2 linked regions of the Drosophila melanogaster genome follow. The protein of the gene in region 1 binds, or shares a complex with, the protein of each later gene. Each region holds a gene or a part of one and is shown in the gene's direction. Other genes may lie near its edges. The genes, in order: ND-75 and ND-18.

Evidence for each region.
Region 2: the proteins of ND-75 (region 1) and ND-18 are in contact, whole or in part, in a cryo-EM structure (PDB 8B9Z), measured with the Drosophila melanogaster proteins. Residues at the interface, in NP_511083.1 of Drosophila melanogaster: Thr58 (codon at 8,410), Gln61 (codon at 8,419), Glu69 (codon at 8,514), Arg72 (codon at 8,523), Tyr75 (codon at 8,532), His76 (codon at 8,535), Glu77 (codon at 8,538), Arg78 (codon at 8,541), Leu79 (codon at 8,544), Ala80 (codon at 8,547), Val81 (codon at 8,550), Ala82 (codon at 8,553), Asn84 (codon at 8,559), Gln143 (codon at 8,736), Glu146 (codon at 8,745), Cys147 (codon at 8,748), Asp148 (codon at 8,751), Asp151 (codon at 8,760), Arg195 (codon at 8,960), Val197 (codon at 8,966), Ser201 (codon at 8,978), Glu202 (codon at 8,981), Asp207 (codon at 8,996), Thr211 (codon at 9,008), Asp238 (codon at 9,089), Arg260 (codon at 9,155), Lys261 (codon at 9,158), Ser263 (codon at 9,164), Val276 (codon at 9,203), Thr281 (codon at 9,218); in NP_573385.1 of Drosophila melanogaster: Arg83 (codon at 8,393), Arg85 (codon at 8,399), Pro90 (codon at 8,414), Lys91 (codon at 8,417), Asn92 (codon at 8,420), Ala93 (codon at 8,423), Met94 (codon at 8,426), Gln95 (codon at 8,429), Ser96 (codon at 8,432), Gly97 (codon at 8,435), Thr98 (codon at 8,438), Asp99 (codon at 8,441), Asp109 (codon at 8,471), Asn110 (codon at 8,474), Glu112 (codon at 8,480), Arg113 (codon at 8,483), Trp114 (codon at 8,486), Ala122 (codon at 8,510), Ser129 (codon at 8,590), Asn130 (codon at 8,593), Arg151 (codon at 8,656), Tyr153 (codon at 8,662), Ala158 (codon at 8,677), Lys159 (codon at 8,680), Lys161 (codon at 8,686), Lys162 (codon at 8,689), Arg164 (codon at 8,695), Val165 (codon at 8,698), Lys166 (codon at 8,701), Tyr168 (codon at 8,707).

The regions. Positions count from the first base shown.
Region 1 is NC_004354.4:8,243,605-8,259,621, reverse strand, and holds ND-75 (NADH dehydrogenase (ubiquinone) 75 kDa subunit), read left to right. Parts: upstream 1-7,934; 5' UTR 7,935-8,025; intron 8,026-8,170; exon of another isoform or gene 8,171-8,233; 5' UTR 8,234-8,238; coding exon 8,239-8,421; intron 8,422-8,492; coding exon 8,493-8,824; intron 8,825-8,892; coding exon 8,893-9,919; intron 9,920-9,979; coding exon 9,980-10,468; intron 10,469-10,527; coding exon 10,528-10,692; 3' UTR 10,693-10,971; downstream 10,972-16,017. Other genes in the region: CG1632 (uncharacterized protein), read right to left, coding at 6,166-6,198; Trxr1 (thioredoxin reductase 1), read right to left, coding at 11,928-12,814, 12,886-13,112, 13,183-13,528, 15,563-15,893. UniProt on the Drosophila melanogaster protein: Core subunit of the mitochondrial membrane respiratory chain NADH dehydrogenase (Complex I) that is believed to belong to the minimal assembly required for catalysis. Complex I functions in the transfer of electrons from NADH to the respiratory chain.
Region 2 is NC_004354.4:19,484,481-19,498,346, forward strand, and holds ND-18 (NADH dehydrogenase (ubiquinone) 18 kDa subunit), read left to right. Parts: upstream 1-7,940; 5' UTR 7,941-8,056; coding exon 8,057-8,106; intron 8,107-8,196; coding exon 8,197-8,517; intron 8,518-8,576; coding exon 8,577-8,757; 3' UTR 8,758-8,857; downstream 8,858-13,866. Other genes in the region: pcm (pacman), read right to left, coding at 1,623-1,712, 1,781-1,861, 1,925-2,587, 2,652-3,232, 3,312-4,205, 4,259-4,578, 4,662-4,930, 5,005-5,469 and 3 more; CG12204 (uncharacterized protein), read right to left, coding at 8,928-9,899; ksh (kish), read right to left, coding at 10,066-10,171, 10,247-10,356, 10,420-10,422. UniProt on the Drosophila melanogaster protein: Accessory subunit of the mitochondrial membrane respiratory chain NADH dehydrogenase (Complex I), that is believed not to be involved in catalysis. Complex I functions in the transfer of electrons from NADH to the respiratory chain.

The DNA.
Region 1 (16,017 bases):
TAATAAATAAAACTGAAAAAGAGAATAGAAGCAGACGCCAAAAAGGGGTTGATGAACTAAATGTCTGCATCGAGAAATTCCTCTATAGATAGATCACTTTACGTAACATTAATGCTCATTTTAATTTATTGTAAAACTTCAATTTCATCAAAGACTTTCATGCAGATCCCACGAGTTTTTTTGCATTTTCAAGGCAAGTCCAAAATGTTTTTTTTAAACTTTGACATTCCCACAATTTCAAATAAAAAATTAATTTCCGCTGCGATTAGCATATTTAATTGAAATTTTGCAACTATTTCGGACGATCAACTGCAGCAGGAAAATGCCACAAAAGGTAAACAGCCAAAAAGAAAACAATTCGAATAAGAGACGAAAAAAAACACGCCTTGAAAAGGCAAGCAAAAATTAAAAGTAAAAAAAAAAAAATAAAAACAATTTGCCCACGCCGCTGACGTCACTGGTTCAAGGCTGCAAGCAGTGCGCTTTTTGCCAATCGTTTTCTAGTTTTCAAGTACTATATACACACATATATGTATCTGCAAGAATAAATCAGAAATATATTTAGTAAGCAGAAATAGCCATAAATCGAGTAATAAGTGTTCATTGCGAAAGAGCAAAGAAATGTTGTGAGGAGAGCTTGAAGATTTGTGCCACTTTCTTCTGAGAGCGCAGACTTCGCTTTTGTGGCTTTTGTCACTGCTTGTTTTGTTTGCTCCTCCATTCTTCTGGCCTTCCCCCTGCAGCACCCCACCCCCCCTTCCACCTTCTTTACTTCTAATTTATTTGAATGACATTTGTCGAAAAATGCATGCAGCGGGAGAAAGTTCTTTTCTCTCTTTTGCACTCACAGGAGCAGCCGTAAGTGTACACGGAAAAAAAATTACTACAAAATCCATTGTGTTTTTTTCCTTTAAGTTTATAACAAATGGCAGGTAACGTTTGACGTGAGTTACTTATGTATTTTCCACAGTGTTTTTTCCGCTGCTTAAGCGCTTTACTGCTTTAATGATTTGCTACTTTGCTCTGTCAAAAGGTCGATTCAGAAAATATTTGATTGTGCTCAGACCAGCAGAAAAATCAAGCTCAGCTTAACCCACTAAAGCCCACGATCGCAAGCACTGGAAATGTTACGCGACGTGAAATAAAAAGTTGGTAGCATTGTGTTTCAATTTGGAAACTTTTAGGCAATATTTGCTTATTTAATATTAAATAATTATACAAAATCTTACATTGTTTGCTGTAGTTAGTAGTTCTATTAATGATACATAGATATATATATTGTGTATATATTAATACAATGCATATATTAATGGAGTAGCTGACTTTCAGAGAGTTAAGTCAGCTTACTTTGTTGCCAATCCCCCAAGTTGTTGCTATGCTGTGGCATTTGGCCAAATGGCAACAACATTTTGTTTCATATTGTTGCTTTTTGTTGCTATTGCTGGATTTTCTTTGGTAAGGTGAACCTGTTGCACATGACTGCAAAATGCGACAGCCAGTGGAAAACGCAGCTTGAAGATGGATGAAAATATGGCTAATAGGCAAATCTCTGTGCAAAACGAAAAGTTTCCCCACATCTTTGTTGATTTCAAATAAATTTGGTATTAATTTGATTTTTATGCACTCCCAAATTTGGTTTATTACTGATAGTTGCCAACCGATTGAGCGCTTTTGTTGTTCTTTTGCGCTCTTAAGACTTTAGTGATTTCTGCTGTCGCTGGTGATTGTGCAAAAAAGGCGAAGAAAACAAAACCAAAAAAAAAAAACAAATAAATTGAGAAGAGAAGAGAGTGAGGGAAAAATTCGCCAACGAAAACCGAAAATAGCTAAGACAATAATGGGGCCCCACGAGTCAGATAAGCCTAGAAAAACATGGAAAAAATCGCCGCAAAGCAAAATCGTCGGCAGACAACTGAAAGTTGTTGCGTTTGTTTCTAAGCCAAACGAGTTTGTTGTTGCTGCTGTTGTTGTCGTCGCTGCAATCACTTTTTGGCGCATAAACTCAAACTCAAATCCAAATCCAAACTCAAACCCAAACCCAAACCCAAGCCCCAACTCCAGACCGAGACTAGACCCATGGACTTATTGGAATGCCAAGCCACACACACACATGGCGACGCACAGTCGCGGTCACAGCACTATGGTCTTTCCTTTTCAGATGGAAAACATTTATTAATTAATTATTCATTACCACCATTGAATGCCTATTCAATATAGTAATACGCTTAAATGATTATTCAATTAAATAAATTTACTTATGTTGAAATATGCATTTTGTGTAGGTAGAATAACATTTCAACAGGAGAACAAATGTTGTTTACTTTTTTTGACCATTCTTTAACTTGGTTTTTTCCATAACTTGACCAAAAAAGATAGCACAGCAAAAATGATTACTGTTTTGTGCTGGTAATAAACCAAACTAACTTTCCCTATCACTACTTTTATGATTTGGGAAAAAAAAAATTTCACGAATTTTCGCATTTTTTGTAAATTCATCCAAAATTTGCAAAAAATTTAAAAAATCTAGAATTCCCAAATTTGAATGCAAATCGATTGGGATTTAAGAAACAAACTCAACGTGGTATGACATTCCATATTTGGGCCATTATTTAAAATGCTGTGCTAAAATTACCGATTATTTTATTTACAAAAAATCAGGATGACGATTTTTAGCCAAAAGTTCAATATTTAATATGGGTTTTTTGGGTATAACTTGGCTAAAAATGCCCACACAGCCAAAAGAATAACAGTTTTGTGCTCCTAATAACCAATACTAACCATCCCTATCACTTTTGGAAGGACTTTGAAAAATTAATTTTTTACCAAATTTTTGCATTTTTTGTAAGGGGTACCATCATCAAAATTTGCAAAAAATTGAAAAAACCTAGAATTCCCAAATTTGAATGCAAATCGATTGGGATTTAAGAAACAAACTCAACGAGGTATGACATTTCATATTTGGGCCATTATTTTAAGTGCTATGCTAAACTTACCGATTATTTTTTCGCATAAAATCAAGAAAACGATTTTTGTCAGAAAATTCAATATTTAATATGGGTTTTTTGGGTATAACTTTGTGCTCCTAATTACCAATACTAACCATCCCTGTCACTTTTGGAAGGACTTTGAAAAATTAATTTTGGCCCAAATTTTCGCATTTTTTGTAAGGGGTACCATCATCAAAATTTGCGAAAAGTGGCAAAAAATTAAAATTTCCATGTTTGAATACAGTTCGGTAGGGAATTTCGTTACGAATTCAACGAGGTATGACATTCCATATTTGGCCAATTATTTTGACTGCTATCGAAAAAATACAGAATATTTTTAACCAAAAAAAAATTGACAAAAATCAGATAATTTCAAGCATGGTTATTATCTCCGTAACTTGGCCAAAACGAAACCTATTTCTTCGCTTGCAGCTGTGCATATGCATACGTATGTATTCATACAGATCGCAGTTTAAATTACAGCGGGCGGACTTGTGAGAAGAAAACGAAACGAATCGAAATGAAATGAAATGGAATGAACCCACAACAATCGCAGCAAAACTCCAAATTGCTCAATGCTCGTTGTTTTGCCTTTGGCGGCCAACACCAACAATTACAACAATTACAACAGTAAGAGGGAGGGGGGGTAGAGGCCCTATTTAAGCCACACACGCCCTGCAACAAGCAACATCGACCAAGCAACAACTAACAACAATAAACAACTAACAAGCGAGAAAAACTTTGGTCAAACTTTGGTCGAAAAGCCTTGGTTCCAAAAATGTGGTGAATAATACCGTTAACAAATGTCTTTCACATGCAGTTTTTTTTTCGTAGTCCATGGCCTTGGTTTCAATTGCGAACCCATTAGAACGCAACATTTAATGGAGACAATTTGTTGGAATGGATTTTTTAAAACATAACAAACACTCTTCTTCTTTTAATTTTTAGATATTAAAAGTTACTAGCTTTTCAAATCTCAACTTAATTCAATAACAAAATCATCAATCTGCTAGCAACTTCTTTTGAATATTTCAAGGGTAGAGCATAGCATATTCGTTTTCAAGCCAGCAACTTAACACTATTATTGTTAGAAACGACATATTTTGTTATTCGAAAAATTCTCATCAGGCGAGACAACAAAAGAAAGAGAAACACCCGTCCAAAGTATTCAACGACTCATTTCACAAACAAATTTATACATGCCACCAAAAAAAAACAGTTGCTGATTGCTGGGAGAAATACAAAATACAAGACACAAAATGCGAAAGACAAAAAGAAAAAAAAACAAATAAAACAAGACACAAATTACAAGAGGGAAATAATAATAATAAAGAAAAGCAACAGAAACAACAGACATTTTTGCAAGAAAACAGTTGCAAATTAAAATCGCAGCGAGCTGAAGATTTGCGAAGACGCAGAAGACGACAACGCATTATGCACAGAAAGAAATAAGAGTCTAATTTGAAGCAATTCCAATTTGTAAGCAATACGCCAATGCAAATCAAGTTCTATACGTAATTTAATGAAAAGCCAACCATTTGGGATTCTACATAACTTTCTTGTTAAATATCTAAGTTTAGTCCCTAAGTTAAGTCACCACTTTTTTTTTTGCAGTGTGACAAACTTTTGATTTCTTTCGTTGAGGCGGGCCAGATTTTAACAGCGAAGCGCCCGCGGCAAAAGCAACAATCAACAATTTTAATAACAACAACAGCGAGCGGCAAAAGTAAGTTACTAAGTCAAAATTGGCTTATAACGGGACGCACTTTCACTTAAACGCAGCTCAAGTCGCTGCTCTCTTTCTATGCATGTGTGCGTGTGCATGTGTGTGTGTGTGTGTGGGGATGCTGCTGCCCCCAGCTACGAAAAGGGGGCGTGGCATTGTAATTTCCATAAACTTAGCAGTAGCCAAAGCTCACACAGTGGGCCAAAATGCAAGCAAAGCGGTCAAATAAGTCTATGATTCAATAGAAATATACAAAATATTCAAGTGCAATTTTTATAAATTACTATATTAAATACATTTTAAGCTACCATTACATTTTGCTTAAAATTAACTCATTTTCGAACTTAAGCTGCTGCTTTACCTGTTATTAGAAGTGAATGCACAATGAAGTGGGTGAGTATTGTAACATTTTATTGCTGTGTAATATGAATGATCATACAACTGATTACTCTAATGAGCGGAATAGTAAGTGTGCGATCGCAAGAGGGCGTTAACACGAGTGGCCACTGTACATGCGCGGACGACTACTGTGGATGCGATCCCGTTGCAGATTGGAAATCGTTAGCAGGTTACCGATATCGCCGTCTAGTAGTGCAGCATTATTGCATAATGCCAATCCGCAGCACGACAAAAAACATATAAAAAAAAAACCAAACAGCCAAACAACGCGACGCTTTTACTTTTGTTTCATTAATTATGGCAGCTCAACGATTTCCAATTATGACAGCGATTGGAAAGCCGTTTAAGCCGAGTGACCAAAAATAAGCCAACGAAAACCAAAAAAACCGAAATGACCAAATAACCAGCGAGTGTTGTTGCCCTTTCAAGAATCCCCACAGATAATCGCAGCCCCATCGGATTTTTTTGGAATTTCGAAAGGCATTTCCAAAGGCATGGCAATGGGTAATGCTATGGTAAATGGCCTCCAGGAATCCGCGGATATATTTCACTATTGTCTGGGAAATGGCCAAAACAATGCACTTGATTTTGGCCCCTGGGCGCAGGGAGAGGCTTAGGTCCTTTTGCTTTTGCCACTCAATATCTATGTATCTGCGAGATACTAGATTTTCTATCTAAAAAACTATCTAAGGCATTGGCAAGTTACGAACTGAGATCAGCATGGCTTTCCAAACTTTTCTAGTAAAAGTAAATCAAATTGAAATGGTAGTTTATGTGCATTTGGAATCCAGAAAACTGTGCTAGTTTCTTAATTCTTAATTAGACATATAACAGCGTTCGCAGATTTAATTAATCATACCCAGGCCATGCAGAATTTTACTGCCATATTGGCCAGTCGCGAAGAAAGAGAAGTTCCAAGTTCGCCTCATAATCCAATTAAGAACCGGAGAAATGTGTACTTTCAGACCTCTGATTAAGTTTAACTACTGGCCGCTGGAATTAGCCGCATTTCCTGACAGCGGCCACGCGTAATTGATTTGAACTAGAACTCACCTGGCTGTTGCTGCAGTAGTATATGTCCGACATCCTGGTTCTGGGCTCCGATCTCGATCTGGCTCCCGCTATGGATACGGATCTCGAGCTGTCCTGCGCCTGCTCCGCTATCGCGGATTCGCGCCACTCGCAAAACCTTTCAGCGTTTCCCCGCTTGCTTTCGTTATGGAAGGCGAAACAAAGTGGACAGCATGCCCACCAAATTAGCCAGGCGGTGATCCAGGTAAACTGGCGAGCAGGTGAAGCAGCCCTAGGTGCTGGCCAAAACGACTATAATGGCTGGCTATGATGGCAACCTGTTTTGCTGCGCCGCGGAAAAGTGTCACACAGCCCCGCTTGGCTTGCAATCGATATGGCCAGTTGACGTCGCCAGTTGTTGCGATCTTTGTTTTTCCTCAGCTGCTTTTTTGTTATGTTTTTTTTTGTTTCGTTTTTTTTGGCGGATTAGGTTTTCCGCATATTTATCCGCATTTAGGCAGAGGCACACAATACAAACAAAACAAAATACAAAATAAATACATATGTGTATATATAATATTTATATATATTAAATGCAAACAATGCCGCACTTCACGCTCCGTCTTGCAGAACACACGACCGCCGCTTTTGCCGCTTTTGCCGCTTTCCATATGCGCATGCGCGCACCTTTCTTTCTTTCGAATATATCGCCAAGTGATGCACTCCGTATGCTGGAAATGCGCGATTTGGGGGAATTTTTGGGATCTGAGTGCCGATGCGATGAGAAAAGATGCACGACCGTCTCGAGCGGAGCTAAAACGCTAACTAACTTGGCCCAAACGGGGCGACTTCTTCGGCGGCCGCAACGAAAGTTGTCGCAACCAGTTTTCAGTCTTCTGATGCCTAATATTTGCCCACTCTACACGCGCCGAAGAAATGAAACAGATGATGTGTAGAATAATATTTGGAGTAATTGTTTCAAAAGAGTATGAGTTCTAAATCGCTTAGTTTATTTAAGATTGGAAGTCTTAATTTTCAGCGTTTGGCATGCTTAATATTATATGTGTTATTTGCAGTATTGTTACATACAAATCATTAAATCATTTCAATTCTGTTCTCTGTTTACAACTGATAAGTGTTATCTTATGCAAAAAATTAAACCAAATTTCTCTCTGTGTAACGAGAATAACGCTGCACTTTTAAGCCGGTAATTTATGCGATGATTAATTCGTATGAAGCGGAAAAGATCCTGGCCAGATATACATAAGTACGCACATACGTTTGTATGAGTGTTAGCTGATAAGAGAACTGAAAATAAAACAAAACATTTAATTTTACGTGGTAAAAACTTCAAAAAAAACTTCTATCAAAACTGTCAAATATTTAACAACAAATCATTTAAAGTCAAGAACAAAAATAAAATATTTACAATACAGTTCTGAACTTAAATAAAATAAGTGAACTATATTTAATTTGAAGTAATAAGTTTTAAAAATTCGTTTAATTTTGAGAGCGCGAATAAATTAGTTGAGTGGCTCCATCTGTGATTTGAGATTTGAAGCTTGATACTGAGTTCGCTCACAAGTGAATGGCCAAACAAATTGAACAGCTGTTCACTAGCGTTGCCAACTACAGTAACACTTGAACTTGAAGGTGGTAATCGAAGCAGGTAACAATATCAAATATATACTTTTTGAATAGAAAACTAATTTCGGAGATTTATAAATTGGTGTCGCACATAAATTTATATTTAAGGAATAAATTTAAAAACCGATAAACTATTGCGATTGACCAGCTGTCAACGCGGCAGTTGGCAACGCGGTCGGTCTGTCAAAGCAAAATCCGATAAAAAAAAAGTTGTCTCCACATTAAAAGATCACAGGAATATTTTCCAGCATTTCGGTAGGTCTTCGCCCACTTTTGGCATCCTCCAGGATCCCCATTCAGGTGGCAAATGGCGGTGCAGTGGAGGAGCTGACTCCGAAAACGCACACGAATCGCGAACAATCGATATGCGGGAGTGTTGTGCCAACCAGCGTACCAAAACACTTATGTAATTTTTATTGGCTCCTCCGATTGCAACGGATTTTTGGTTACCATCTCGTTGCAGAAAATATGATACGGGCACCGCTAGTCAAGGCGCTGGGCGCTCTGGGCTCGCCCACACATCAGATGGCCAGCCGGGCGGTGCGAACCAGCGCCATGGTGGCCCAGACACCGGCGAAAGCGCCCGAGAAGATCGAGGTCTTTGTGGATGACATTCCCGTGCAGGTGGTACCCGGCACCACTGTCCTCCAGGTTGGTTTCCAGTCCCTCGTTCGCGGGAAGTGCCTTCTAAACCCATATCCCCTATGCCCTGCAAATCCTAGGCTGCTGCTCAGATCGGCGTGGAGATACCCAGATTCTGCTACCACGAACGTCTTGCGGTGGCCGGCAACTGCAGGATGTGCCTCGTCGAGGTGGAGAAGAGTCCCAAGCCAGTGGCCGCCTGCGCTATGCCCGTGATGAAGGGCTGGCGCATCAAGACCAACTCGGATTTGACCCGCAAGGCGCGCGAGGGCGTCATGGAGTTCCTGCTGATGAACCATCCGCTGGATTGCCCCATCTGCGATCAGGGCGGCGAGTGCGATCTGCAGGATCAGGCCATGGCCTTCGGTTCCGATCGATCCCGCTTCACGGACATTAACTACACGGGCAAGCGGTAAGGAGAATAATCCATAAAGTTCCTTTTCCATAACCTGAACTGAATTCTACCTAATGCGTTAACAGCGCTGTCGAGGACAAGGACATCGGACCGCTAGTCAAGACCATCATGACACGCTGCATCCACTGCACCCGCTGTGTGCGTTTCGCCTCCGAGATTGCCGGCGTTGATGACCTGGGCACCACTGGCCGTGGCAACGACATGCAGATCGGCACCTACGTGGAGAAGCTCTTCCTTACCGAACTGTCCGGCAACGTGATCGACCTGTGCCCCGTGGGAGCGCTGACCAACAAGCCCTACAGTTTTGTGGCCCGTCCCTGGGAGATCCGTAAGGTGAGCAGCATCGATGTGCTGGACGCCGTCGGCAGCAACATTGTCGTCAGCACCCGCACCAATGAGGTGCTGCGCATCCTGCCCCGTGAGAACGAGGACGTCAACGAGGAATGGCTTGCTGACAAATCGCGCTTCGCCTGCGACGGTCTGAAGCGCCAGCGCCTGGTGGCTCCCATGGTGCGCATGCCCAACGGCGAACTACAGGCCGTAGAGTGGGAGGGTGCCCTCATCGCCGTGGCCAAGGCCATTAAGGCAGCCGGTGGACAGATTGCCGGTATTTCTGGCCAACTTGCCGACCTGGAGGCTCAGGTGGCCCTGAAGGATCTGCTGAACCGTCTGGGCAGCGAAGTGGTCGCCACTGAACAAGGATTTATTGCCGGAGGCACCGACAACCGTGCTAATTACCTCTTGAACAGCACCATTGCCGGTTTGGAGGAGGCCGACGCCGTTCTCCTGGTGGGCACCAATCCCCGTTACGAGGCTCCATTGGTCAACACCCGTTTGCGCAAGGCCTATGTGCACAACGAACTGCAGATTGCCTCGATTGGACCCAAGATCGATCTGTCCTACGACCACGAGAACCTTGGCGCCGATGCCGCTTTAGTCAAGGACGTGTGCTCCGGAGCTCATGCCTTCTCCAAGGTCTTGGAGGGTGCCAAGAAGCCGGCCATCATTATTGGAGCCGATTTGTTGGAGCGTGCCGATGGTGCCGCCATTCACGCCACCGTTGCCGAGTACTGCAAGAAGCTGAAGAAGCCGGTAAGTTTGTCATCCCTTTGCTCACATGAATTCCTGCTTAATCTCATGCTTCGCTTACAGAACTGGAACCCCTTCAATGTGCTGCAGACCAACGCCGCCCAGGTGGGCGCCCTCGATGTGGGCTACAAGGCCGGTGCACAGACCGCTGTGAAGGCTCAGCCCAAGGTGCTGTTCCTGTTGAACGCCGACGCTGGCAAGGTGACTCGCGAGCAGCTGCCCAAGGACTGCTTCGTGGTGTACATTGGATCGCATGGTGACAACGGCGCCTCCATTGCCGATGCCGTTCTGCCTGGTGCCGCCTACACAGAGAAGCAGGGCATCTACGTGAACACGGAGGGCAGGCCGCAGCAGACGCTGCCTGGTGTTTCGCCACCGGGTATGGCTCGCGAGGACTGGAAGATCCTGCGCGCTCTGTCCGAGGTGGTGGGCAAGCCGCTGCCGTACGACAACCTGGACGAGCTGCGCAACCGTCTGGAGGATGTGGCGCCACATCTAACGCGCCTGGGCCAATTGGAGCCAGCCGGCGATGCCGGAGCAGCGGGCACTATTGTAAGTTGAAATTATGCTCCATTGAAAGTTGTAATTTATTACTGTTTGTTTGTTTGCAGAGCAAATCCATCGGCGGTGGCGCCATCGATATTAAGCTAAAGGAGCTGCGCGACTACTTCATGACCGACGCCATTTCGCGCGCCTCGCCCACCATGGCCAAGTGCATATCGGCGGTCAACAAGCAGCAGCGGGAGAACGAGGCCAAGCAGAGTGTGGCTATCTAGGCGCCCACTCTCGCGTCTGATCTAAACTAATAACTAATTAATGTTTTTTTTTAAACTCTGCCCTTCGTCCTTTCGCGCCGCACTCGCCCACTAATTAACGGACACAAAGACACCAGGACGAGCCGCGGGAAGAGCCAGCGCAGTAGCGGGATGAGGAGCACGATCGGCGGCTGCAGAGGCGCCAGCGCTGCGTCAGTTGTAAATGAAAAAGTCTTACGTTGTTCAAAACAAAGGAGTTATTCAATACGAAAAATAGGAAAACCAAAATAAAAATGTAATAGAAAAAATATCACAACAGCGACTTATCAATGGGTTGGGTTTCACTATGGGTATATTGGGCTATTCCAAGTCGCTTGGTTCATAGTATAGCCATCTCGCTTTGTTTCGTGGCATCCAATCGGAGATACCACCTCGAAAGTGTTCCATACATACATATATGATTAATGCTAATTCCTTATAGAAGCTATTGAATTCTCTTTGCTGTTCATTAATTGATTGCATCAATTTACTGTCTTAATTTGATTTTGATTTGCTTGCGAGGATTCCTTAGGTCATAAACTTCAACCTTTTCGTAGCTTCTATTACACTTTATCACGCACTGTTTTTCCTTTGAAAACTAAAGTATAATTTATTACCCACTGATATATGTATCTCCAGGGTGCCATCGTTCGTAGCTGATTTATAGCCCTCGAGGGCAAAGATTCCCCTAGCAATGGCATTAGCAATTAGTCGGGTGGCTAACAAGTTGTCAGGCTGGCAGACAGAATCGATTTAGCCAGGTCAAGTCAAGCCATTTGCATGGCTAATGAACTTACTTGATTGAAAAGGCAGAGGAAGGGCTAAAGGTCGAGGTATGTTTTAAAGGAAATGCACAGAACTGAAACACAGAGGGGTTTGTTGGTGAAAAATTATATTCTTCAACCGTACATTTAGGGGATTTCATAGTTAATTTCATAGGTTCAAACAAATTCAAAATTTTGAGTGCATGTCGGCGGCGCAGCAGTCGTGGGTTGGGCTGGTCGCGCGGGTAGTTCCACTGGTGTCGTTCCACCCGCCATCGCTGCCCAGTGCCCCTCCCTTGCGCAGAGCTATTGTGTTGGGTGTTAATTGTGGAAACGAAACGGAACTATTGAACTCATCGATCGCTGGGCCGCGACAACAACCATTCATCTACGGGATTTCGGGTGGAGCAAGCGGCTTCGACACGTCCCAGGCGGCTGAGCTGCGTTCCCGCTTTAGCTGCAGCAGCTGGCCGGCGTGGGGTCCAGTCCGGAGCGCTTGGTGATGGCCAGCCGGGTGAATTCTTCGGCGGTAGTGGGATGGATGCCCACGGTGTTGATCAGCGTGTTAATAGTCAGGCCAGACTTCAAAGCGGCAGCGAATCCCTGGATAACCTCACCGGCCACCGGGCCAATATAGTGCAGTCCATAGACGCGCTGGTCACCATGGCGCTCGGCCACAGCCTTCAAGTAGCAGTAGCGCACGCTCTTCTGGGGAATGAAGAACTCCGTGGGCTTGTAGTAGCCGTGGAACACCTCGATCTCATCGGCTCCGAACTGCTTGACGGCATCCTCCTCGCTCAGGCCGACGCAGGCGTACTCCAGGGGCGTGAAAACGGTGGTGGCCACATCCTTGTAGTCCATGCGCTGGGTAGATCCTCCGTACAGGCGGCGGGCCAGCAAACGGCCAGCCAAAACGGCGACGGGCGTCAGCTCTGGCTTGCCATAGATGATATCGCCGACAGCGTAGATGTTTGCCACATTGGTAGCCTCCTGGGAGTCCACTGGAATCTTGTCCTTCTGCACAGTCACGCCGGCATTGGGCAGGTTCAGATCGTCCACCAGACCCTTGCGGCCGATGGCCCACAGAACGGTGTCGTAAACATCCTCGGCCTCCTCGCCGGTCTCCACGTTCTTGTACTTCACGAGCAGCTTGCCATCATCCTGCTTTTCCACGGACAGCGGCACCGTCTTGCGGAGGAAGGGAATGCCACGCTCCTCCATCGAGGCTGCCACCAGCTCGGCCATCTGCTGGTCGAAGCCACGCAGCACAATAGAACGCACCATCACAGTGGGCTCGTAGCCGAGACCCTTCAGGAATCCAGCGCACTCCAAGCCAATGTCTGAGTGAAAGAGCAGAAACCGAATGGGTTATTCATCAATTTGATGTAAGCAAATGAAAGTAGCTACTTACAGCCAGCTCCCACCACCAGGGTCTTGCCGGGCTCGCGGTCCAAACTGAACAGATCATCGCTGGTGATGCCATACTCGACAGCACCGGGAATATCCGGATAACGTGGTCGGCCGCCAACGGCAATGACGAAGGTCTGGGCGGTGATTGTGCGCTCGCCGCTCTTCAGCTTGGCCAGCAGTGTGTGCGAGTCCACGAAGGAGCCCAGTCCATTGATGTACTCCACTTTCCTGAGCGCAAATAGAAGGGTATAATTAGTGGGGATGCTCGAGCGGAAGCCATAGATATAGTCACACTTACTTGTCGCGCAGATCCACACGGGTCACCCAGTTGACGGACTTGATGTGGTTCTGTACGGACTGCACCAGCTTGTGCCAGTCTGGCTTGATCTTTTCGTCCACGTTCCAGCCGTAGGCGGCCGCCTCATGGACAGCCTCGCCCAGAAGGGAGGCCTGGTGCATCAGCTTCTTGGGAATGCAGCCCACGTTCACGCAGGTGCCGCCAACGCCCCACTTGGTGCCCAGAGTGGGCGTGGGCTTAACGAAATCCAGACAGGCCACACGGGCTCCATTGAGGACTGCCTCCTTGGCGCAGGCCAGGCCAGCTGAGCCGCCTCCAATCACAATAAGGTCGTAGTCGTAGGATCCTGCAGGAGAAAAAAGGTTTTCGTTTGATTCATCGCCTTTTGTCTATAGAAATATGTAATCTACTGCCAAAATTGGGCTTAAAGAGGTCAAGAGGTCACAGAACATGAGGAGCCGTCAGGAAATCTAATCGTAGCACAGCCAATTCACCTTGTATTATTAAAAACTTATCACCGTTAGTAACATCAATAGCCATGTTGTATTGGCATGGTCTGTTTTTGTTCTTAACCAGTATCTAGATTAGTTGAAAATCCTTATCAGTGATAGGTAATGATATCAATTAGCCATGTGGTGCCAACTACTCAAGTTTCTCTTTAGCTTCACTCATGATTATGGCTAATCCCCGCCTGCCTTTGGTGGACTCCTCGCGCAGTCGTATGTCCAGATAGGCGGATCGGTAGATGCTCCTCCGGTGGCGTGGTTCACCCTCGACCAACTGGGAAGCCGGTATGAATTCGAACAGATGCATCCAGACCAAAGAAGTGCGGAACGAAGACTGTTTGGCCTCCTGCAATCCGTAATCTGCACCGTGCAATCCCGTCGAGCTCCTTGGCTTCAGTTGCCAGGTAGCGATAGTGCTGCCGAATGCCACACATGCCACTGGGTCAGTGGGAGTTCGAATCAAAGTGGAGCAATCATCTAGCGACATCGCCACACACCAAGCCACGCCCATCCCAGCCCGGCCACGCCTTTCTTCCGTCCGTCCACCTACGCCCCCCCATTCGGTTTGCTTTGACCCGCCGGACTTTGTCATGGTTACGCCCCAAAACTAGTTGGCAACACCACACACAATTCGCTTTTATCGGACGGAATGCTAATCCTGGCCAGGAACAGGGGGAAATCAGGTGGCTACGTACGAATGCGAGTGCAAATAAACAATTGTTGTCGTCACACTGCAATTAATTGCGGAATGAAGTGGTGATGACGCAGCTCAGCAATGATGATGAAAGATCAAAGACGATGGCGGGCGCTCGTTGAGCGACGGATACGAGAGATACGAAATAGAAAACACAGATAAAGGGAATAAATGCACCCGACTGATATGGTGAAATCATCATCATCATCATCATAAAGCGATTCTCGAACATTCCGCAAAGGGTTATTCGTTCAAGAGCACCGCATTCGACAAAAATCACACATATCACGTTGGTGCTTTAAGAAATCCTATTATACCCTTAATTACCATTTGAAATCAGAATATGGCATATATTTATAAGTAAATTCTTCTATTGTTTTCGGAATTAGAAGCTTCGTATCTGCTCGATTGGCTAATTATTCATTTAACAAGAAAACTTGATCGTGGCATGTGGGATTTATATTATATTACAAATTAAAACATCAAATACGTTTAACTTCATATAAATAGATATTAGTTTTTTTTTACCAGCTAAAGGCAAAATGGCAATACAAGTGACTTGTATGAATGTAATTTAACAAATATTATTAATTCGTTAAGTCATATGATGTAATTCTTTTTTGAGGCAAATAACTGATATTGTTTAAGCTGCAATTGAGTAATGGTTTTATGAGCAATCCATAATTCAATTAAAAAAATTCGACTGACATAGTATTTATACGCGATTCAGAACTTTGTTGACCATTATACTTAGAGGATGTGCTCTTTTTGGCGCCCACAACGATGGCGCAAATCATGTACTTCAGCATGATACGAGTTTCGAGTGCTGTTCGCGCGACCCCGACTGTACAATTCCAGTTGGAGCGGGTGCGCGATGACGATTGACGATGACGGTGCAAATGTGAGACAGCAAATGCCGGGCAGGCATATAAACCCTTGGCGAATACGTGCCGCAGAAACCCGATAAGCCAGGTAATAAGAGCAGAGTAATGGACTTTTTGGCCAGGCAACTAACGGTTATTGCATAATGGCGTCGGTTAAACACAAGAAGACCCAGAAAAAACAACAAGCAAGAAAACCGCGACAATCGACCGCGTTGCCAACCGGCGGCAACAGGAGCAGCAGCTGCGGCGGCAACAGCAAAGATCTAATCAGAATATCAATCGATATCGATGCTCACCTCCTTTGGTGCTCATCTTTCGCACCGGTTGCGCGTACATGGCCGCCCTGTCGCAATGTGGATGCTGGAAGGGTGGTGGTGCGCCGGCACCGGATCCGGCTGGAGCATTCCCACCGGTAGCTCCAGTACTGTCGCGTGATCCTCGCTGTCCCGTCAAGTTCATAGTTCGCTGAAACGTGTGATGGGCACAGCTGAGACTACTGGAAATCCAATGGGGAACCTTTGTTGTCAGTGAGCCTCTGTTTTGTATAATGCCAGCCGAAGGAGACGTTAAAATCGTCGAGCACTGCCGCACGAACGTAACGGAGAATCTCGAATTGCACAAGTTCATCTTGTTGGCCTTTCCCCTTCTTCAACGTTTGGCGTTTCACTCTACCAGCTGGAGGCGAAACGAAACTATTCGCGAAAAGGGTGCAGAAAAATGACGGCGGAACACACAACACAAACACGTTCGC
Region 2 (13,866 bases), about 11 Mb from region 1:
TGTATCCACTGTTGTGGGATTTCGAAAACTGAATCAAACGGAACGAACCTTTGTTGACAACACCCGCTGGCTTTCTTAACAACACCTTATTTTTTATTATTTTTAACGAATGCATTGTATGTACATATGAAGTCGTAATTAATTATACGCAAATCAAAACCTTAATTCGTACACAACGACAAGTCTTCTAATTCTAAACCGCATTGTATTGAGCAGAGTAGGAGCGGCAGGACTGACTCCACTGGATGCGTTGTGTGTCCTTGTGCCCATTCTAGTATATTTCTGAGCAGCTTGCGCTGGTTTAGCATCGCAATTGAGCCGCCTACATTTAGTATATCTACTAACGACCTATATAGAAACCATTGCAGTTTGAACTAAGGATTAAATAAGTAAGCGCAACGACGCCATCATTTATTGAAACCAGACCAAGCAGGAGCTCTCAATCTTCGGGTTCATCGGTCAGATTGAGGACACGCGGCTTATAGGTGAGTCTTTTAAAACGACAAAAGCTCGAGTGAGCCCGCGTTGGGGTCGACTGCACCCCAACGGCGTCCTTATGTCGGCAGATTTTGACGAAACTCTCGGGAATCCTTGCGTTAGTGGTGATTGTCAGCGTGGCTGATCCCGCCGAGGTAATGTAGCGCTTCTGTCCCTCCCATCCTGGCTGGGAAAGCTTTTTCTCAATCTGCAGCTTGACCTCAAGTGAAGGCTGGGCTATTGCTCGGCGCTTTTGTTTTGGTTTTGGTTTATTTTCTTGCTTTCTTTCTTGTTTATTTTCCTGTTTTTTTGCTTGTTTTTCTTGCTGTTCTTGTTCTGAGCGAGAGAGAACCATGGAATAATGACCACACTTGAGGAAAAGATTTCTTCCCTACCTGCCATTTTTCTGTGCAACGTTTTGGGAATAACCTGCTCGCAATGATTTAGTCATGTGGCAATTGACGATAGCTGTCAAAAAAAAAATCGTTCAAAATTCCAAATTCAAGAATACAGTATAATCACAGGGCTAGCTCGATAGCCTCCCTGATCTGGCAATTCTCTAGCTGAAGGCTCTGCGACCGACAACTAGCGAAAAAACTATGCCAGGTCAGAGATTTCTTAGGAATTTGCGACTCCTTGCTCACGCGACACGTGCAGAGTTTCGATTTGAATTCAAAAGAAAACATTTGAATTTTAATTGCCAAAACAAATTGATAGAAATGATTGAAATGATCTGCCTTCACTAGATTTTCAAAGATTGTAAACAAATCACGAACGAGATTGCTCAATACATTTGAAATTAGCCACAGATTGCGTGGCACTGACAGCTTTATTCAAAACAAAATACGTCTTATAGGACAGATCCTTCTTAAAAGCTAATTTACACAATGCAGCTTGGCATTCTATCGAGTAACAACAAAATATGGGTAAAGTCCAGTTTATTGAAAAAATATAAAGACGAGTCAGTCTCATTTTAGTATTCACATAATCCGCAACTCTAAAAAAAAAATGATCTATCGTGTGCGGCAATTCTAGTGCCTCGCACAGACTAGGAGAGATAGAAATAAGGTGATATAAGATCCAAATAGCGTTGCATTTCTTCAGCTAGGTGGGATTTGAACCTAAAAATACCCATTTGTTCGCTCTTAAGTTGGATGCGGGGAGTCGGGCAGTATGTATTCCAAGTCGAACTTGGCTCCGATGCGAGGCACTCGATGCTTCCTTCGGTTGACCGCCTGCAACAGAAGCGAGTAAATGGAATGAGTAAATTATGCAGAATAACTATCTCTATCTCCTCCATTACCTGGGATGATGTCGTTGCTGTGGGCGCGTTCGCACTGCCTGTTGAGACCCCATCAGATTCGGACTGCGACGCAGCCGGCTGCTGTCGGCCGAGAGGAAAGCATTAGTTCGGTAATCAAGGCTTTGACTTGTAGCCAATGCTTACCTTAATTTCAAGCGTTTGCATCAGTCCAATCACCTGTTCGCCTGCTGATTGTACCGGAAGACTAGAACTGGCCTTTGTGTCTATAGTCTCGTTCGTCGGTTGCTGCAACACAGGCGAACGACTAGGATTCTTGGTGGCATCGACGTCCTGACGACCGGCTGGTTGGACGCGATTTAATTTCTTGGGACGGTACGCCTGTATGGGCACAAAATCTTGGATCGTTGAGTATCGCGGTGGCGCATTGTTGATCTCCGTCAGCTGGAGTGGCTGCTGCTGCTGCTGCTGCTGCTGCTGATTCGGGTAATATGGTTGCTGGAGGTGCATGTGCACGTTGTTGTTAAAGGTGCTCTGCGCAGCTATATTCTTTTTGGGACGCATCTGATATCCATTGTTGACGCCAGCGTGGAATGCGTTGGCGTGCTGCATGCGCGGGTGCACCCACTCATGCCACTGCCTTTTTGATGGAGCACCCAATGGCGGCTGATTCAACGCCGCTCCTGTCTGGCCGCTTCTGTAGAAATGCTGGCTATTGATACGTTCAGGCTCCATTTGCGCATGCGCCTGCTGCTGCTTCTTCTGCGCCTCCTGCTGCTGCGCCTCCTGCTGCAGCGCCTCCTGCTTCTGCGCCTCTTGCTGCCAGAAGAGCGGTGGCTTGGGTAGATTCTGCAATGAAAAGTAGTTATGTGAACACATGGTTGGGTGGCACATCTGGGCTGAAAGCAGTTACGGGCATTTGTCCGGGAAACGGAGCTCTTTGCTGTTGAAGTAGTGGCGGACGTTGCTGCTGCACCGCCTCCTGGAGTGGCGGCGAGCTCTGGTCCTCACCCACGCCCAAAACCGACATGAGCGCCAAGGTCTGATCCAGAGGAGTCAGCGTTGCGGACGAGGCTGCGGTGAATGCAGTGGAAGCAGTGCTTGCAGCTGCATCAGGAGTTTTTGTGGGCGGAGCAACAAAAATACTACCGCCCTGTTGACGTGATGAAGACCGATTTATGCGCCAATTATTTGGCGCAGGCTGCGGTTTGTTTGTTGGCGTACTGACGCGTTCCCGCCAGTTGGTAATCTGCTCCGGCACCGGCACCGGTTTTGGCTCCGACGATGGCTTGTACGAATCCGTACGGGCTATCGGATCGCTACGCGTCTTGACGAATTCGTCGCTAATTTGGGTCTTCATCGTGATCGGGACCGAGGTGGACCCTGCGGCGGTCACATAGCGACTGCTGGTCGCGCGGACTGGCTCGTCCTGTGCCTGGTTCGGCTGAGGATCCCTCACCGGCAGTTCGCAGTCGTTCTGCTTCTTTCCTTCCTCTGCAAGGAGAGGAAGTGGGAGCATTGCTATGTATGTGCCTCCTCCGATTCTGTAGGCTATGCAGCCAAATCCACTTACCATCCGTCTTGATGATCACCAGGGCAATTTCGGGCACCTTGTAAACTCGGTCTTCGGCGATGCCATGGATGTTGTTGCAGTTCGGAACGGGGCTGTCGAACAGCACCTTGCAGAACGTGTCGACAGCATGGACGCACTCCAGGCGGACCGGGTTGGGGTCCGTAACGGGATGAATGCCAATCACGGTGCCCTTAGTGCCCACGGGCACCATGTAAATGGTGCGTACGATTACGACGCGATCGAAGAGACGCACCGGGCGCTTTGATCGGTAGACATCTGGCAGTGTGACATTGGGCTTGATGAGCAAGTGCGGCTTCACCTGCAGTTTAACGTGCTTGACGGGCAGTGAGCGCAGGTCGTCGACGGCGGCTATCAGCAGTTCGATGGTCTCGCGGCAGACCGTCTTGGAGCCGCAAGAGATGCGCTCCACTTTCATGTGCGGCTGCTGGCGCACCCAGTTGGCCAGTTCCTCGACGCGGCGATGGCCAACCGCATTGGGGAACACGTCCTGTTCGAATACGAACTCGGCGCGATCGTTGGAGTCGCCAAAGAAGTCGATAACGTCTGGGTAACGCTGGCAATAGTTGCGCATCAGATCCACGGCCAGGCTGGAGTAGTACCACTGGTTGTTCGTGCGGAAGCAGTATCCGGCACGCTCCTCGTTCTGCCGCGGATACTTGAGCTGCAGGCCAATGTTGTGCTTGGTCACGTTTTCCATCTTCTGACGCCGCGGACCGAGCACCACCCACACGGTGCCACTTAGGCGTCCCAGGGTGCGGCCACTGATTCGGAGCAAGTTGCAGACCTGGAAGGTGCTCAGATAGTCCCGGTCCCGCTCTTCCTGCAGCTGACGTGCCGCATTTACTTTCGGTTCCGGTCGCACCATGATGCTGACTGCAGAGATGAAATGATGATGGGGTGTCAAGGACATGGCGAGACGAACTTACCTTGAATCCGGCCGTTGGTGTAGGCCAGCCGTGGGTCCTGCACAGTTCCCTCGCTGCCGTAATACGGATCCGTGATCAAGAAGATCGTGCTGCCAACGGGGAAGTAGTGCTCCACGTTGAGGAAATTCTTGCGCATTCTTTCCCACACAGTCAGATCGGCCACCACGCCCTGGGCTGGATAGCCGGTGACGGAGCTGCTCCACGAGTCGCGCACCATCAATGCCCCCTTGTCGCGGAACTCCGTCGAATTGCCGGCAAAGGTGCGCACATAGACGAGCACATCATAGTTGGCAAACTGTATTCCCATACGATTGATAAAGCTGTCGTGGGAGGAGAAGGAGGAAAGGGAAGATGGAGCATTAGCAGTGTGAATGCAGGGCCAGACGGCGGCTTCACACTCAACTGTTCCTGCAGTGCCTTGCATTCCGAGTCGAAACGCCGCGAATCGTTTAGCGTGATTCCCTCGCTGTCGACGCGCTGATCTCGCGTGGCCACGCGCACCACTATCGCCTTGACGAGATGCGGCCAGCCGACGTGGATCACCTTCCCGAGGTACTGGGAGGCCACCGCCGTCAGTGTGTCCTCCAGCTGGCGCTTGCGTGGTTTTAGCACAATGTTCTGGTTGCGACTGACCTGTTCGAACACCTTGACGCGGTCGTTGCGCAGCTCGAACTGGAAAAGAATAGCAAGCATATTAGACATGGCGGACATGGCGAGCGTTATGCATGTGTCCCGGCGTCACTCACATCGAAGGGCAGATGCTGCATGGTGGGAAATCCCGGGAAGAAAACGGTTCTCGCCGCATTTGGTAGCTCGATGCACACGCTGTACGGCAGATTGACTGCGATTTCGTGCGACCACTTGGCCACCTCCGTGCAGTAGAGCACGGGAAGAGCCCTCAGCGGTGGATACGCTGGCATGGGACCCTGCGCCACCGTACTGTATTTGTACACATACATGGGACCGTGTCGGTTGCGTTCGCGCTCCTCCAGCGACAGCTGAGCCTCGCATGGCAGCATAGCGGCCAGCAGCCGACCCTCATCGATGAAGGGTATCAGCACAACCGCCTCCCAATCGTGTTTCTTGCCATTGAGGTCGCTCTCGAACTCCAGTGGATAGAACTCGGCCAGCGGGCTGGTCGGCAGCAGCATGAGGTCGTGGTAGGCGACAGGGAGAAGCTTTGCACTGGCCGCCGGCAGTACCGCCAGAAGCTTTATATGAAAGATTGGACAGATGGCTTAAGTAAATCTAGTATGTGTGCAGATATATGGATACATGGATAATTTGGTTGAGAAGATTGCTTTAACCAAATGATCTAGCACCACCATTGGATTAGAGGGAGATAGATATATGTTAGAAAGGAGATACGCAAATGATAGTCTAAATTGGTGGCTCTGGTTTATGTTTAAGAAATGGTAAGCCTGATGCTAGGAAAGTTATCGGTGCTAACTAAATGTGCTCAGCTCACCTGCTGGAATGGCAGAAAGGGCGTGCCCATGTGGAAGGCGATCTCCACCTGCTCGATGTTCTTGAGGTCGCTGATGAATGGAGTGTAGTGGAAGGGATAGTACCAGTCCCAGGACTGCACGCCACGGTAGTAGTAGTCGAGCACCCACTGCAGCGCATTGACGTAGTGGTGGCACAGTTCCTCGATCAGTTCATCATTCGGATCACGCTTGAACTTGTTGCGGTAGAAGTTTCGCTTGTAGTTCTGGAACTCCTTCAGAAGAACCGCGTTCTCGTCGGAGCAGTCCTCCTCGCTGTCGTCATCGTAGAGCTGTGGATGGGAAGGCGGCATTGAGCGGACGGAAATGACGGGATGGCGGTCAGTGCAGAGAGTTCATACCAGCATGCTCTTGTTGATGAGGGCTCCGAGATCGGAGTCGAGGTTTTGAGACTCGGTGATCTCGCCGACGTCCATGTCGAACGCCTCTGATTTGTTGTTCATGTACTTCAAGTCGTCGGCGTGCTCCTTGAAGTGATCCAGCTCCACCTCGGTGAGGGCCGATATGAAAATCTGCAAGCGGCGCAGGTTGAGCTTGCCGTTCTCGTTGATGTTGCCGCCGAGGGTCGGGTAAATGCCGATGTAGGTGCGGTAGAGCAGCGGCAGTGCATTTGATGAAATGTGCAGGCACGGCAGGTGGGGAATGAAGTCGTTGCCGACCAAAAAGCCCATCAGCACCCAGTCGTCGATAAGCTGCGCAATGTCCAATTTGTGCTCGTCTGTTCTCAGGGCGTCGAACTCCAGCTCGAGGTACTCGCGCAGCAGACCCAGGTGCAGCAGGAAGAAGCGCGTCTCCTCCACCGAGGTGCGCTTGACGTTGCGCCCGAACTTGACCTCCTCGCGCAGCACCACGAAGTGCAGCTCGTGGGTGCAGAGGCCCAGAATGATCAGATCGGCGTCCAGGCCGTAAAGGCAGTGTCGTGTATTGGGATCATAGTCCGGCTGCGTCTTCATGTACCGAATGTAGTCCATGATCTTGTGCTCGCCCTCGCCGGGCGCCTCCTGGCCACTTAGGATTACGGTGCAACGCTGCCACAGCGGATCCGTCGAAATCTTCGTTTTGAGAAAGGCGCGCAGTCCCTCCTGCAGACGCACCATGAATTCGGTGCCCGGCGTAATGCAGTTGCTGTCGAAGCGCTCGTGCTCTCGCAACTCGCCTCGCTGGGCCGCCTTGGCCTCCTGCTGCTCCGCCTCGCGCGCCGTCCGGAATCGCCGGCTGCGCTGCTGGTTCATCTTGGCCCGTGGAGCCACCCCGTCAACTGAAAGGAAGAAGAGGCGCTGCGGCTTGATCAGGTAGAACAGCTTGTCTACGTAGTTGAAGATTTCCTGGAATATCTGCTCCTCCTCCAGGTGAAAGTGTATGTTGTTGTCGTCCGGATGCGAGCAGTTGTGGACAATGCCGTTCATGTCCAAGTACAGATTGTCGAACTCGGGTATCTGCAAAGGAACCGTACGGTGCATGGCAACATATAACGTGACCTAGCAGCTTTACTTACGCAGTGCTCCCGCGCCAATTCGCTGAGGCACGGATATCGCTCGCTGATGTAGCGAAAGAACTTGGGAACGCCCATGTCGCTGTTCTGGATGGGACTGTTCTGCCGCCGTGCTGTTCTGCCTGGATCAGTGGCAATTTAGATGAACTGAAAAATTTGTGTCTTTATCTGTTTTCAACATGTATTGATTGACACAAAAGTTGCAAGTAGGCGAGGCGTTGCCACAACGTTTCGCTATTGCCATGTGGTAGGGCCGGCGGCATTCCGCAGTTCGATGAATAACTGAAAGAATAAGGACCCTGACCGATTCAAATCGATATTAGAATCGATAAGCGAAACGGGCTCCTTTGCCAATAATCAGCTAATGGTGAAATTAAGCTAAAAGGAGCTAAGAACACCTACATATCTGGCAGCACTGGGCAAATGCAATGCTCATCATTTAAACAGTTGGCTTACAAATAGCATAGTTTTAGTTCTAGTTACTTCTCTAGTTCATCATCAGTGTATTTCATTTCATTCATTTTCATTTTAAAGTTCATTTTACCACTTGAACAGCATTTCATAGTTTTTGCGAAGTTCGAAGTGAAAAAGAAGAAAACTGTTTTTGAACTATTGTGGCATCGCATCCAAGGCGAGGGGCCACACTGTTTCCAATTAGAATAAAAACACTCACCGCTCGCCTGGTCACACTGGCACTGGCGAACAGCTGTTTTCCCAATCGAAAAGCGCTTGTGTTCCAAATTTTACGTAATTCGTATTTTGAAGCCGATTTCTGCCGTGTAGCCCCAAACGCCTAGCGAAATGTCGGCCCTCCGCCAAGTGATGTGCAGAAGCACCGCCTCCCTGCAGCTGTAGGTACCCCCGCCTGGCCGGAGCAAGTGCATCCGACCTGGCAAATCTGCAGCCCTCTAATTATCCACTTTCGCATCTTGACACCGCAGGTACCAGGCCAACAGGGCAGCCGCTGCCCGCTGGGCATCCACCGCCACGGACGGCGGTCCGCTGGACCCCAAGACGGCCCTGGCCCGCCCCGAAGAGCTGGAGCAGCGCAACAAGCTGAGTGGCAAGATCACCGTGCCGACTGCCGTCAATCTCAGCCCGATCAGCGGCGTTCCGGAGGAGCACATTCGGGAGCGCCGTGTGCGCATCCATATTCCGCCCAAGAACGCAATGCAGAGCGGCACCGATAACGTGAACACCTGGCAAATCGAGTTCGACAACCGCGAGCGCTGGGAGAATCCGCTCATGGGCTGGGCCTCCAGGTGAGTAGCTGGCACGTCCACCATGCCATGGCAACCTTGGTCAACGTCTCGTGTTCCAGCGGCGACCCATTGTCCAACATGAACGTGCAGTTCGGATCCCCAGAGGAGGCCATCACGTTCTGCGAACGGAACGGATGGCGCTGGTACGTCGACGGCGCCGCGAAGCCCAAGAAGGAGCGCGTCAAGAACTACGGCATCAACTTTGCCTGGAACAAGCGCACGCGCGTCTCCACCAAGTAGACGCTCCCCGCAGCTAGCCAGGATTATAGACCACAATTATCTGATTTTTTTTTTGCTTTGTTCATTATCTGAGTACCCAAATAAACAGTCGGCTGGACTCAAATGACCACAGCACCATGTAATGGCCACCAGTTTCGCTGCCAATGGAAGCGGCACCATCACATGCCGCTCTAATGACGAGCGGTTTGGGAGCGATGCCTATTGTGCTGCTTCTCGCGTGGCTCTCGCTCCTCCCGACGCCTATCGCCATGTCGATGCCTGCTCGGACTGCGGCTTCTCTTCCGGCTGTCATCATGATGCTGGTACCAATCTCTGCGCTCGTTGCGCCAGTCCCGATGCTCTTGTCGCTGTCCTCGGTCCTTGTGCTCCTTAAAACGATCCATTTGGTCGTTATGCCGCCCTCTGTCCTCCTGGTACCGCTGCCTGTGCTGCGTTTGCTCGTTGTGCCGCCATTGGTGCTCCTGAAACCGCTCCGCTGGCTTATCGCGTCGTCCCTTGTGATCCTGTTGCCGCTCCGTTTGCGTCCTTTGCTGGGATTGCTCAACATACCGTCCGCGGTGCTCCTGTCGGTCGACTTGCTTATGATGCCGCCCGCCGTGCTCCTGTTCCCACTGCTTCTCCAGCGCCTGCATCTGCAGGCTGACTAGCTGGTGCAGCTCCTCGTTGAGCGTGGGCTTGCTCTTGCGGTGGCGCCGATGATTCTTTTGCTGACGCCGGGTTTCGCCCACCACCTCGGCGAAGGCGGTGTTGTCCTGGAACTGCGGGTGCTTCTTGGTGTGCTTTAGAACGTGCTCGTAGATGAGCAGCCGCTGACTCGCGTCGAGTCCTGCCTGCAGATCATCAAAGGAGGCAGCAGGAAGGAGGCGTCGTGCTCTTTCGGTGCCCACAATGCCCTGAATAGTCGAGTCATCGAGCTGGATGCTAAAGTCGGGATTGTTGCTGCATGACGCCGGCAATGGCAATGGCTCTAACACCTCCGATTTAGTTGCGCCGTTTTTGTCCTGTGGTCTGTGGCTACCCGCCCCCATCACCCCGCGCTCGCTCCAACCGAAGCGCTGCAGGATGACGTGGAGACGCCTCCTGCTGGCTGTCACAAAAAGACGCAGCTGTTCTCGCTTCTCGTCCACATCTTCGCCAGACATTTTTAGCCAGCGCGAAACAGAACAGAACAGAACAGCAAGTGTTGGGAAAGCCCGAAATGTGCGGCCAGTGCTGCAGAACGCAGCGTGTATTTACAGTCCTAGAAAGTTTGGAATATCTAATCTATGGTGCCATTCGGCTCCTGGAGGGGATGCGGGATGCAGGAGCTCAGCTCCAAAAGAGAACGGTGAAGGCCATGATCAGGCAGGCGGCTCCTACCCACGGCGACTTGCGCTCCCCAATCCTTGCCAGCTTCCAGAAGGTGCCCATGAATCTGCAAACAGACAGCAGACGAGTGTTGAGTGTGGTAACAATCAGTGGACTGGTCAGGGCGGGAACGGGCACCTACCCGGTCTTGTTGCGGTCTATCAAGCTGGGGAAGAGCGAGCGCAGGTAGGCACAGGTGCAGATCAGCAGCAGGATGACCGACAGCAGGCTGTGGAAGTTGAACAGGGCGCTCTGTGGAGGGAAACGGTGCTAAGTGTACGACGGAGGAGTATCGGTTAGGTGAGCGTTTCAAACCATGATTTAGCAAATCGAAATCCGTGCTTGGCGATAGAATAACAACAAGCGGTAAACTAGTGACGTGCCAGCCGCTCGGCGCAGGCGAACTGGTTCCAAAACTGGAATCTCACGTTTCGACTGATTCGATAGGTGGTTAATCAACTGTTAGAATGATAAGGAATGTTACAATGTTTAGGAGTTAATATAAGAATATATTTATATTAAATACATATTTTGGCGACCTACTTCCATTATCTGGGATGGACATTGGATAAATATTTTACAATAGAAAGTAACAAGCTCTTAGCCAAGTTCCCACAGGGAGCATAAAAACGCCATAGGAAGTATTGAAAAGTGCAAGAGTTTACAAAAGACATCGTATACAAAAAAACGTAAGCTTAATTTCGATAGTATCGGAACTTGTATTGCAATCCAACCGTGGGTCAAGTAAATGAAATAAGATAAGACTTTGTTTCAATTAACGTTGGCAGTGGAGCTTCCCCCAATTGAAATATGTGCCAATGGAATCGGGCTATTAGGTCAAGTGAATTCAATCGACTGGCGCGGAACAGCAATCGATGGGTCCACACTTATCGCACATAGTATCGCATAAACATCGACGCAGTGGGCCACCTCTAGCAATTTGTCTGCAACTTCTAATTCGCTGCGGGTATTTTTTTTGTGTTTGTTGTTACATATAATCCGATCAATTTCGATCGCCCGCTTGGCAAATCAGTGTCTTGCTGTTCCGATTGGTGAGCTTTGGCCAATTCTCGGCGAGCGTCAGTAAATCGTTCGATTTGGCTTTAAGTCCGCCCGTGCTTTTGCGTTTTCCTTGGCTCTTTTCTTCATTTTTGTGGCCCGTTTTCGTTTTCCACTTGGTATCGCGAGGGGATGAAGGAGGGGAGCAGGAGCGGAGAATCCCGACCGAGTGCATCCCCAATGTGTGTGCGTGTACGTCTGTGAATACGATGGTGCTGCCAATGCAATTGTAACTGAGCGCGCTCATAAAAATCAAAAGTATATTTAGATATACATGTACATATATATAATAATCGGATACGTTTTCTCATTGCCCCCCCTGTCGGTGTGTGTGCGTGTGTATTTAAATCAGTAATACAGTGTGTGTGTGACGAGCGCGCTGGGTTTTGTTGTTAAGTGCGAGTGAGTAAGAGAGAGGGAACACGAGCGAGACAGCAGCCGGAGCAACAGAGAGGCAAACAGGAACTGCAACAAGAAAAACAATAACATTCTGTGGCAGCAGCAGCAGCGATGACTTCCAGTCGCTGCACTGGCAAAGCGGTAAGTTCCCGACTGCAATATTAAGCTAAGCTATGATCCGCGAATCGGTTCCTTGCATGTGTATTTATGTAAGTACACACACACACCCGCACGCGCGCCAAACACACGCACTTGCGTGTATCGTTGACGTCGGCGATTACAGCACTGTTAGCTGCTAACAGCACAGTGACGGCCACTCGCATAGATCCGCGCCAAAGTTATCGGAGTGCCCCACTCGAGGGGCGGTAAATCGTGAGTGAAAAGTGTAAAATACAAACAGTATATGCTCTTTTAACCCCACCCCCAATTTTAAAGTGCTACGGTTTAAAGTGCTGCGAACCGGAGGTGAGTTGCATTATTATATCCTCTTCCAGTGCTTTCATGACACATTCACCCATGGACCTACACCCGCGAACACCAAAACACTACGCACATGCGCAGAGCGGCCACCGACACCGATAACACACCAATGCAATGCAAAAAAGTCGCGCTCTAGTGTGCGCTCTTTATTTTTGTTTTTAGTTTCGCTCCACTCTGCCTTCTGTATTCATCGGGTGCATTTATTGTTATCGGTTTCTCTTCCAGCAAAGTCGGTAATCGCTGCGTGTGCCTCGATTCGTAAACGGTAAACAAGCAATATTTTGTTTTTCATGCTGATTATCATGTTGATGAATGAAGGAGCATTTACGCAATTGTTTTGTGAATTTTCCGCTGTACACTGAAAGATTCTCTTTGTGGTTTCTCCATCTCCCTCGCTCTCTCTCGCTGGCCGATGGCCCACCACACAGGCATTCACACACACCACCACCGCGCGCACACACACACATTTACAGTAGGCCGCCATTGCTCTGCTGCGCAGCTTTTACAGTGTTGCATTCTGCCGCGCAGTGTTGTTGCTGCCGTGAAAGCTTTTTCGGCCCTTGTTGTGTGCCCATCTTTCGTTTTGTACAGATGTTTTTGCCATTCCCTTATCACCTTACGCTTTATGCGATACCTAGACTATCGGTTGTTTATATCATCTTTTGACCGGCGGAAAATATGGGAATGAATATTAAACAATTGTTAAAAATTTAATTAATAGCAAATCTACCAAAAGTATAAGCCGACGTTTATATACTCTTTCTGTTAATTTTATCAAGTTTTATCCATAATGCAATTAGTTTAATTGCTTACTTTTTATAATAATACATTTGTAAAGTTGTAATAATATGCTTAGAATGGCTTAGAATGTTACAATTTTTCGGGTGAGGAATATTTTTCATTTTTAAATAAAATCTTCTCATTCCATCTAAAATACGTTCCACCTCAATTCCTTTGCATGGCTTTAAATATTATATTACACTGACACATTCACCATATGTATGCATATTTAATCCATTTAATTACGTATTTAAATTTATTGTTATTAATTAAATGCATTGCATATCGTTTGTCAGTTACCAAAGTTTCACACGCGGCTATCTCTGTTCAAAGAGATCGCCATAGTTTCTCAAGGTGTAAGGGACGGAAGTGCAATAAAAGCTTATCGTGTAATGACACGCGTTTTAAGATTAAAACAATGTTACAAATCGTGCTATTTGCCAAGCCAGCAAACTTGGTAATGGCTTGGAGGTGCAATATTTAATCTCTTTTATACACTTTTAAATGCCCTGTCATAGGTGTAACGGAATATTTATATATTTTTTGCTTTTTTAGGCCAAGTTGGAACTAAACTACATATTTGATGTGAAAAGTACGTTCTTGCAATCTGTCTTATTGGCTTTTCACTTTAAATGGGCATAGCATAGTACAATATATTATCAGTAAATCCAATCAGATTGATCTCTTTTGTAGGGGTGCTGTTTTTTCGACCGCTGCTGTTGCGCTATTTACCGCAACCTTTCGTAATTCCTGCATAGGAATAGCCAAGCGATGCGGACTCGGGACTCCCGGATTCCGAGAGTCAGCGACATCGGTGGAATCGACGGGGTCCGTACCCCGTACCGTGCTCGCCTATTGCGGCTATGCTGTTTTGTTTGATTTTTTGGTACTCGCTCGGCGATCCGATCGGATGGTATCATATCGTGGGGGATCGTATGGGATCGGATCGCTCGCGTGCCGTTTCGTGTCGTATCGCTTCGTTTCGCATCGCTTTCGCAAACGGCGGTCCGGGGCTCCGCGCACTTGACTCGCTCCGCTTTGCGC